3 linked regions of the Saccharomyces cerevisiae S288C genome follow. Changing the gene in region 1 together with any one later gene gives a genetic interaction. Each region holds a gene or a part of one and is shown on either strand. Other genes may lie near its edges. The genes, in order: PEX28, IRC4 and NBA1.

The links.
Region 2: mutations in PEX28 (region 1) and IRC4 together harm fitness more than expected from each alone (negative genetic interaction), as found in Saccharomyces cerevisiae (one large-scale study listed by BioGRID).
Region 3: mutations in PEX28 (region 1) and NBA1 together harm fitness more than expected from each alone (negative genetic interaction), as found in Saccharomyces cerevisiae (one large-scale study listed by BioGRID).

What each region holds. Positions count from the first base shown.
Region 1 is NC_001140.6:395,597-399,632, forward strand, and holds PEX28 (Pex28p), read left to right. Parts: upstream 1-1,654; coding exon 1,655-3,394; downstream 3,395-4,036. Other genes in the region: SKG6 (Skg6p), read right to left, coding at 1-1,063; MTC6 (Mtc6p), read right to left, coding at 3,672-4,036. UniProt on the Saccharomyces cerevisiae protein: Involved in the regulation of peroxisome number, size and distribution.
Region 2 is NC_001136.10:1,516,629-1,519,502, forward strand, and holds IRC4 (Irc4p), read right to left. Parts: upstream 1,048-2,874; coding exon 508-1,047; downstream 1-507.
Region 3 is NC_001147.6:196,559-200,579, forward strand, and holds NBA1 (Nba1p), read right to left. Parts: upstream 2,168-4,021; coding exon 662-2,167; downstream 1-661. Other genes in the region: succinate dehydrogenase assembly factor SDH5, read left to right, coding at 1-437; kinetochore-associated Ndc80 complex subunit NUF2, read left to right, coding at 2,384-3,739; histone deacetylase HST1, read right to left, coding at 3,810-4,021.

The sequences.
Region 1 (4,036 bases):
GTGATACATAGTAATCATCATCTTGACTTTTACTGCTACTACGATCATTCATATGTTCAGCTTCTCTGATATCTTGAAGTTCATAATTATCATCATCCTTACCAAAACGCAGATTCCTTTCATGTGTCTTTTCTGAACTATTATCAAGTTCGAATTCGAACGCGTCATTGCTTGCAGACTCATTTGACTCATTCAAAACCTCAGCCTCTTCACTAACTGAGGACGAATCATTGTCTTCATTAGGAAATGTAAACTGCTTGTTGGCACCTTCTGTGGCAGAACCACGGGAAAGCTGGTTATTATGGATTGGGCTACCGTGAGATCGAAAGCTTTCACTCTCTTGAAATCTTGAAGACGCTCTTATTGGTGTACAATTCGAAAAGTTATCAGGATGCAAGGACGTTTGACTGGCATTTCTAGACTCGGCCGCAACTTTATAGCCACCTAGTCCATCTTCTTGTACTCTCATGGCAAAATCTCTCAAACTGTTAGAGTCGTTCGATTCCTGTGGAAGCTGAAACGGGTCTACGTACCATGACCGACCAATTGCAGGTGGGGTAGCGCTTCTCACATTATATTTACTACTATGCATGCTACCAACAAAGGGATCTGAAGGCGGCTGTTGCAAGGTCTTTTCCATGAAGTCTTGCTGCGAGTCGCTAGAGTACAAATGATTTATTCCAGGTGAATAATCCTTCATTGTCGGTAAAAATTCAGAATCTCCTTCGAAATCTGGATCATTATCTTCCTCAGCTTCCTTTTTGCTTCTCCTATACACAATGCAAAGTATCACAGCCAGAACAATGATAATGACACCTACTGGTACCGCAACAGCCACACCAACAGTTACACTGGTGCTGTGACTCGAATCTGTGGGTAATTGACATTGCTGTTTAGAGCCTGTACATTCAGCAGATTTGCTATTTTTCGTGCTGGATGCTGAGGAAGAAGATGAATCGCTATCGTCTCTTCTAGTGAGCCTTGCATAAGCATAAGACGCATCAGAAACACTTACCGTTGAAGTCACAGATATTAAACTTTCATGCATATGGGTGTGGTACATCGCGAACTATATCTTTGTTAGAACTATGTGACGCTATATGAGTTCAACGAAAAACTATGAAAGGTAATGAAAGAATGAAAAGAAGAACCAGTGAAAAATTCGATATGGATAAAGACAAGGCCTGCTCCCCACAAAAGCTTCACCATGAGTTTGTTATTGATTATTAAAAGTTCTTATTGAGATAAAAAGAGAAAAAATACGGAAGAAACCTTGTCTTTTCGATGAACTTTCCTATTTGGGTGAGCAGTTTTCCTCTTCGAGCTGCAAAAAAGTTTATCGCTTCGCGAAAAAAAAAAAAAAAAAAATTTAAAGAATTTCAAAACGTGTCAGGGCTACTAAATAATTGAACGAGGTCTATGAAATAAAATGGGCTGAGAAAATTTCAAGAAAAAGGAAATAAGTAAGGGCTATTTAGGGTTAGTGGAATGGCTTTTATTATTTCCGCCGCGATGAACTTCCCTTTTATTGTGACATGATAGACATAAATATGACGAATGCCTACGAATTGGAGTCATCAGTAGATAGAACCATAATGAATAAGATAAAAACGCAGGTATTTAGGGTGACAAAGAGATAATATATCTTCAGCAAATGAGTGAGACCAGCTCAAGTCGCAGGAGCGCGAGTAAAGACGCTGTCAAATCTTACTTCGCAGGCAAATACAATAAAGTGTTGGATTCTATACTGGAGGCAGAAGCAGCAATATCAAAATCGCCAACTGTAGCAGAAGATCTATCAGGAAGCTCCTCCAGCGGAAATTCTGAGATGAGCCATCCTTCGCTAACCGCCTCCTCCGCAACAAGCCAAGGCATTAGCAAAAAGGAACTACTCCAACAAATTGCTGGTTCATTATTCAGTACGTCCATTGAGCGCCTGAAGACTGCCCACTCATCAGAAGTATCAAGTACTCCGGAATATTCAGTAAATGATTCGTATGGAGAGCAAGAGTGCAGGGAGTGCGATGGTGTTTTCAAGTGTTCAGCGCACTTTGAGGGCGCGCCCGAATATTATGACGATGAAACCGAATCAGGGCCAGCTCTAGAACCTATGACTTCCAATAGTGAAAAAGATCCTTTTATCGATGTATTTTTGGATAAACTAATATCGAGGTTGGTCCCTGAAAAGCTACCAGAAAGAGAGCATTTTAGTAGCAAAACCACCATTGAGCATGATCTAGACACAGGAAGGGTTCCCGTGTTTTCAGCAACTACATTGGGTAGTAATTTCAAAAAATTGTCTAAGAAAATGGGCTCAATATTTGAACTCCAGGACTCCATAGTTCGACTGCTGACTTGGAGAAACCCTACCGGGACGGTGACGTCGTTAATATTATTCACTTTGATATGTTTTAATCCAATGTACTTGGTAATTTTGCCTATATTCCGCTTTGTCTATGGTATTGTAGTTCCTGGCTATGTGCGTAAACATCCTTTACAAAGGAGTATATATCCTCTGAAACGGAATCACGGATCATCATTGTTATATGATGTGTGCTATGAGGGAAAAAATGAGTACAGCTACGGTCAACAGTTTTTCTCCAAATCTTTTATGGACACTTTGGAATCAAGAAATCAAGAAATAGACGAAATATCAGAATTAGATAAAAGAACCGAAAACACAGGGGAATTGAAACAAGGAATGAAAGTACTAATTAATTTACGCGATATGCAAAACATGACCTCTGGTACCCTTCATGTTATTGAGGCAATCAATAGTTTTCTTCGTAAGTCTTCTAGTTTTCAAAACGAAGAGTGCTCCACTAAACGTTTTTTTACAGGATTTCTTTTGATTGTTTTCTTAAAAATATTATCACCATTTGTGAATTGGAGCTATGTATGTAGCATATTCGCCTGGTGCTTACTGATATATATGCATCCAAGAGCTCATCCAAAAATAATAAGTTTTTTCAAAACAGGAACAATGGGAAAAGAATACAAAAACTTGAAAAAAAGAGAACACCAGGCGCTTAACATGATATTCGATGAACAACCGGAAACTAAATTCATCGAGATTTTTGAAATATATAAAAAGGCCTTACTGCCGAACGACTGGAAGTTTTTCCGATATTCAAATAGAATTTTCGATCCTCAAGATCCGTATAGAAGAGCACAGCAATTCCCACCGGGAGTAGATTCTTTGGCTGATGTTATTCCCCCCACAGGCTGGTCATTTGATCCTAATTTTGAGTGGAAAATTGACAATGATGTGGATAGGTGGGTGGTAGAACGTGGGTTGAATCTGCCAATTACCGGCGAATTCTTATTTGATCCAATGTTCAAGAGGAGGAGACTGATACATCGTGTTATTAAGAATGCAACACCAGTAGCATAATGCACAATTGTTTTCCTTCACCTACAACCCCACCCCTCTTCTTGGGGAAATCATTGTATTACGTACTTTTTTCCTAAAGATATTAGAAAAAAAAATGTTATGTATCAATATTACTAGGTAAAATACAAAAATGCGCTTTTGAAGTATAAATAATACAGTTTTGTTTTAAGAAATGCTATATATGAATTAATAATAAATGAAACGAAAAAAAGCACTACTTGAGTTTTAATGTCGTAAAACTTGAGAAAATTCTAAAGTGTCAGAAAAAAAGTGATTTTTAAGAAGGGACACCTTCTAGCTCGGATTTAGAGATTTTATTGATAACTCTTCTCCAATTTTTTCTATTATCATAAATGGGGACCCTCAATACACTCAAGTAAACGACAATACACAGTAGGGCAAAGGAACAGACTGACGCAGGGACCATCATTGTTACGAAATTTCTCCTAGAAATGACTTTTTCATATGGGCAACTAGCATAAGGACCACCACTTACCCAACAATTGCTTACTGATATAGAGTTCAAATCTATCCATATTTGTGTGTCAGAGAAGGAGGAATTCCTCATATATGCAATAAACGATCTCTGCTCCAATGGGCTTCTAGGAATATTAAATGAATACTGATCGGGACATTTAGATC
Region 2 (2,874 bases), on another chromosome or scaffold:
CCTAGCATGTATTATTTGAGACATAAAGTTTTATCTCGAGACCTTGACGTATAGGAAAGATCTTAATCAAGTGACATTACTTTAAAATTTAAAGTATGTGCCATGTATACCATATACGATAGCAGAATGTGACACAAGCTATACCATACGTCTCTGATCGACATTCATGTATGGTATCGTCTATATCTTTGTTGCTTTAAAGGTTAGCGTATAGTAAGGTAAATTAACTATATGATCAATACTGTGTGTGTAGAGTACAATAAAATATATGGGAAGAACATAAAAAGTTCGTATTGTGACATGTTATTGAGGCTATGGTAAGCGTAAGAGAGTTTTGTCTTTATACTGCTGTACATTATATGAGGTTTTGTTAAATTGACTCATAATAATCGAGATTCATTTCTCAAATATAATAATATCAAAAAATATGATATTAAAAAAGGTTTTCCTGTGGTAGTTTCTAAATCCTGCAAGAAAAAAAATAGACGGCCATATACAACTTTCTCATTATATCTTCCTCCTTTTTATGCGTTGTTCTTCAGGCACTAGTCTCTTCCATTTTCTAATTTTTCCTCTAAAGTTTGTGAAAGGAGCAACCGTGTTGATATGGATCCATTTATACACAGGCCACATAGCTTTAGTTGTAGCCCATTTTCTATTTCCCGCTTGAAAGAGCTCATCATCAGATAAAGTAGATATCCATTTATAGACCTCGTTTACGGCCTCTCTCAGCTTGGCTCTTTGCTCCTTAATGGAGTAGATTCCGTATTTTTTATAAAATGACTGGTATAATCCTCCTAAATTGTTCCATTTATAACCAGGCGCAGGAGTTTCCACATTATACCCAGCAATTTCCTTTGCTTCCCACTCTAATAATAAATTAACCCAGCCCAATTGATAAGAGAGGTTTTCAGAGGGTGTTCTATCCACTGTTTCAACTTTTTCGTCTTTTTGAGATTCAGAGATTGTTTCAAATTCTGCATCATATTTTTCATATTTTTTTTCAATCTCTTCCTTTAGTTCTTTTTTACTGGTATATTCTCTCATGATAGTTTTTTTTTTTTCAATTGTTATTATTTAATTCGTTTAATTACCAATCTATAGCGATGTAAGTCTCACTATTAGCCGCTATTAGATTTTTTTCCATTTGCCAATATTGATTTTTAATCGCATTCATTATTTGATCAAATTTATATTAGTATGTACACACTCAAATAAAAGAAAATAGGGAAAAAAAATTTGCCTGCTTCAATTAGGCTTTTGGTACCTGATATCCGCTCGAGATTAAGTGCGGCCCTCTCCACCCGATAAGGAACAAAGGGCATGCTTCCTTTTTTAGCTTTACGCACTATTGTCAAATTGTTTATATAAACAGGCTGATATAGAATTCATCCTGAAAACAATGGTAAAGTTTTTCTTATTGCACTTCGCTATCCTAAATTCAGGGTTGAGATTTCTTTCTCTTTATGAATTAATGTACGATACGCTTCAGCCTTTCGGCAGTGCATACATATCCTAGCGCGCTGATAGTTGGCCACGTCACTTTCTTGCGCTCCGTAGCATCATTGTTCTTTGACGTAAGAACGCAAACTCTGGCATTATGGAATGCATACCGGTATCTGATAATAAAAATCTTGGATACTTTCCTACAGGCCATCCGGAATCATGTCAGCACAAGAAACAACCATATTCCACTACTGAGGTTCTTATGATAGTACCATATACTTACAGCGTTAGACGATAACAACAAATATAATATTAATTGAGCAAAGTTCTTTACTGTCATTCAAATCGGTGAGTAAGAGTAAAAATTGACAATGAAATAACATCTATGAATGAAATCAAGGGAAGTTTCTGAAGTAAAAATTGACCATTATTCACTACTAGTAGTCGCGTTATTAAGATAATATACTGAATGGAGTTAAAGATGAGATAAATGATGAGAAACAGTCTGCGAGTATAATGGAACATGAAGCGCAAGGGCTGATTTTGTAATAAGATAATGAATGAAAACGTGTAAAACAGATAAAGAAATAAAACAGATTAATGTGTAGAATTATCGATTCCCTTTTATGGATCTCTATGTCCCCGAGGAGCACTTCTAGTGTATTCTGTATAAGTAATAATATTATCTCAAGCAATAATGAATTCCCAATAATTATCTCAAAATCCACTCACTCATAATAATTATATATGACGCATTTAATTTCAGCTCTATGTGCATAACATTAAAATGGAAGATCAAAAATTACACTCTTCACACATAAGTGCAAAATATAGAATCATTTAAGCAATATTGCATCCTGCATATGATTCTGCGTTTTTTTTTTTTTCATTTTGAGCAGAGGAGATTGAGCAAGGATTTACGCTTGCACAAAGTATCCTTGACTTGAAAAGGAAGTTAAAATCGCATGAGAAATGCAATAACTTTATCGGTACGCCATATAACATATGAACATTTTTTAGTAATATTATAGAAGAGGTGATTGAAACGAGATAGTACGCGTAGCAAAACAATGGTAACTAGTGAGATACATTACCAAATTATCCCTGTACTCTTGTGATTTCGCATCAATTTTTCCATATGTTGAATTACAGAATTCCAAAGGCAGGATCTCTGATCTACTGTTTTCTATAATTTCTTTGATTCCATCTGATATTACGCCTAAAAAGTATAAGTCTTTCAACGACTTATACTTCATAATTACATAATACGGTTACACATATAGGTATCTTAAATTGATCACAAGAGTGATCCAAGTAAGTGTGGAGTACCTTTATCACCATTCACTGAATATTAGTATATTTAGATGCACGAAATGGGTACTTTTTAAATACCAAGCATTTACGATTTCCATTTTTTTTATTTTCTAT
Region 3 (4,021 bases), on another chromosome or scaffold:
AGATTATCAACTCTCAAACAGGGTCCGCTGCATGGTCGTGCGGTCGTAGGTGGTTTAGTAGTGATAAAGATGACCACGACGATGTGGTGACGAGGATTAAAATTGCCCCCATAAAGAGAACTAACGAGCCATTGGATAAGAAAAGAGCTCGGTTGATATATCAATCACGCAAAAGAGGGATCTTGGAGACGGACTTGCTGCTATCTGGGTTCGCTGCCAAATATTTGAAGAAGATGAACGAAGAGGAACTGGAAGAATACGATTCGCTATTGAATGAGTTGGACTGGGACATATACTATTGGGCCACAAAAAATTTCAAAACCAGCCCCTTGCCTGACAAGTGGGCCAATTCTAAATTGCTGAAGCAGCTACAAGAATTCAGTGAAAATAAAGAGAAGGAAATTTTAAGTATGCCGGACTTGTCCAAGTATCAATGAATACAAGCCATTGAATTACTATCACTTTTTTTTATTTGTATATGACTTGTAAATAAACCGGAAGAGAAAGAAACTTATATATTACCACTATACTATACTATACTTATTGCTATTATTATTATTCATTATTAGTATTATAATATATTATTGATATTGATATTGATATTGTTATTGTTATTGTTACTACCACTGTTACTATTACTATTATTATTGTTGTTGCACCATCAAAACCCTTCAAGAGCCTTTGTAGCTTTGTCTAATCTTTTCAGTCCTTCTTCATAGCGGTCCGGATCAAGAACCATGTCTGCTGTTAACCTGGACAAAGAGTCTACTAGTCTCTCCAGGGCACGTTTCTCCTCAATTTTCATCCCCAGTTGCGCAAATTCAGACCCGATTAAGGTTCCCTTTGTCACACTCAACAGTTGATTTAGTGTGTCGATATCAAAGGATCGCAATTCCTTCACAGATTTTTTTTTATTGAGCTTTTTTTTCGTATCCTTCTTGAGTTTAGTTTTCTTGGGCGTTTCCTCAATGATGTCCTCGTACATGTCATCATCTTGTTTGTTTGTCGAAGTAGAGGTATGATTTGCCCTATCATGAATAGCCTTCAATGTGTCGTCACGTTTCAAATTCGATGTAACTCTGCTATCCTCATTGGGTGTGCTGGGCAATGGTCTTGTCAAGTAAGTCTCTTCCTCTGGAGGCATACTCGTTGCCGCAGAATAGTAAGATTCCGATTTTTGTTCACTAACTGTGGAAATCTGAGATGAGTTCTTATAGTGGCCACCAGGTTGGACCGGCGTTGGTAATATTTCTTCGGTTAAAAGATCCCCCTCGCCATCACCTTCTTCGATGAACAACCTTGACCTAGGACGGTCCTTACTTCTGGGCGGAATAGTTGGATTGTAGTCATTGGTTTCAGAACGTATTGGGTTTATCGCTTTGGGTGCTTCGTTGGTGGTTGTATACAACTCGGGTATGACACTGGAAACAATTGAAAGCTTATCGCTAACATTTCCTTCCTCTTCTTCTTCGAGCTGCTCTTGAATAGATTGATGGAATTTGGTATTATAAGTGGAAGATCCGCTCTCGCTGGCCAAATTACCTGATCCTATAGAGGAACGCATAACTTTTTCCTGACGTAGAGGACTAGATAACAGTTTCAGTGAGCCACGACCCTCTACTTTTTTTGAAGTGTTAGAGTTAAACCTTCCCACAGGTTTGGCATTAGTAACTGGTTTAATGACAATTTCGTCTGCATTGGTATTCGATTTTGTGCTTTGGTTATCACTTAGATGTTTTGTCAATGTCGCTTCTGAAGGCAACATGGGCAACGACGGTAACTCGTTCTTGCTCACGGGCTCTTTCAAGGAGTACAAACTATTGGAATCCTTACTTGTGCGCCGTTCTTGGGTCTGTTGCCGGTTTTTGACCACATATGATACTTCAACGCCTTCTTGAATAATTCCAGAGTAGTTGGAAATCATACTTGATCTGTTATCACCAGGTGGCAGCGAAACGTCACCAGCAGGTGATCTCAACAATCTCGATGGTGGTTTAAAGACATCACTTTGATCCGCCTTTTCCTCTGTGATCATTGTCCTGGTAGTTGTGGGAGATGGAAAGAGCCTGTCATCTTTCTCATTGTTCAGTGAATCGATCATTGCTGAAAGTCGCTGCGTATTCAGCGTAGCCCTAGATATCCCGTTTTCTTCCCTCTCTTCTGACATACTTATACACCTATCTGGTTTTGATAATGGTCTTCTTGTTAGTCGAATATATCAGCGTTCTTTCTCTTCTTGATGGTGCCAGCCATTTGATCAAAAGATCGCTTTTCCGAATCGGGACATGTAACAAACAATAACAATTAAAATAAACAATATTATGAAAAAATACTGGTAAAAAGCATGTACTGAGGAGAAAGGCTCCAGCATCCCTTGAGCAAAATGAGTAGGAATCAAGATGTGTTCCCCATTTTGGATCTACAGGAACTAGTTATATGTTTGCAAAGCTGTGATTTTGCGCTAGCCACACAGGAAAATATCTCTAGGCCCACCTCAGACTACATGGTAACCCTTTACAAACAAATCATCGAGAACTTCATGGGTATTTCTGTAGAGTCGTTGCTGAATAGTAGTAACCAAGAAACAGGGGATGGTCACTTACAGGAAGAGAACGAGAACATTTATTTGGACACGTTAAATGTTTTGGTATTGAACAAAATCTGCTTTAAGTTCTTTGAGAACATAGGTGTTCAAGATTTCAATATGACAGATTTGTACAAGCCCGAAGCCCAACGGACACAGCGCTTACTGAGTGCTGTGGTGAATTACGCTCGTTTTAGGGAGGAACGAATGTTCGACTGTAATTCTTTTATTCTTCAAATGGAATCGTTGCTGGGTCAGCTTCGCTCCAAATTCGATGATTATAACTTGATTCAGCAACAGCTAAAGCAATACGAGGACGTAGATGGGGATAATATACCTGATGAGCAAGAGCTCCAAAAGCTGGAAGAGCAAAATAAGGAGCTGGAAATTCAGTTGAAGAAATTGACCAAGATCCAAGAAACGTTATCCATAGATTATAATGACTATAAGATCTCCAAGCAGTCAATCTTTAAAGATCTGGAAGCTCTGAGTTTCCAAATAGTGGAATTAGAGTCCAATCGAGATAAACTGATCAAAATATCCAATACAGACATGGAAGAGTTATCCGAGGGAATCAAAGAGCTAAATGATCTGTTGATACAAAGGAAAAAGACGTTAGACGACTTAACCGCACAACAGAAAAACTTGCAAGATACAGTGACGACGTTCGAAACCATAATTAGTGAGCTCTATGATGTGCTGAGAATAATTTCCAGCGAGGTGCAAGAGTCTAATCGAACTGAAACGGAACTTGTGGGATTAAAGCAAAATTTAATCAACAATAAGCTGAAATTGATGAATGTATTGGAAACAGGTATTATGTATAAATTAGAAATCTTACAAGAACAGTTAGATTTGCAACTCAAGAATTTGGAAAAGCTATCGCAAGATACTAAAGAAGAGTCGCGCCTAAATGATACTAAATTGATGGATCTACAAATCAAATATGAAAATGAAATCAAACCTAAGATTGACAAAACGGACATTTTCATTCAAGAGGAACTGATCAGTGGTAAAATCAATAAATTAAATGATGAAATTAAACAATTACAAAAAGATTTCGAAGTTGAAGTTAAAGAAATTGAGATTGAATATTCTTTATTATCTGGTCATATTAATAAATACATGAATGAAATGCTCGAATATATGCAATAGCAGCGGTATACTTATTTTTACTCCCCCTTCTGTGTTTTCTTCTTTTTTTTTTTTTTTTTTTTTTTGGAATTTACTGTTGTTTCTTTCGTGGCTGTTTCTTAATCTTATACGTACCTTTATCTATTTCCGTACAGTTGTAATCTATCTTCTTTAGATCTTGCCATTTTTTATGCGGTATATCCCAATGGCATTTTTTAGCTACGAGACTGGCCACGTCATCACAGAATCCCAACAGGTTTAAGTCAAACTCTGCATGTGTAACCATATCCCTATTGATCAAAA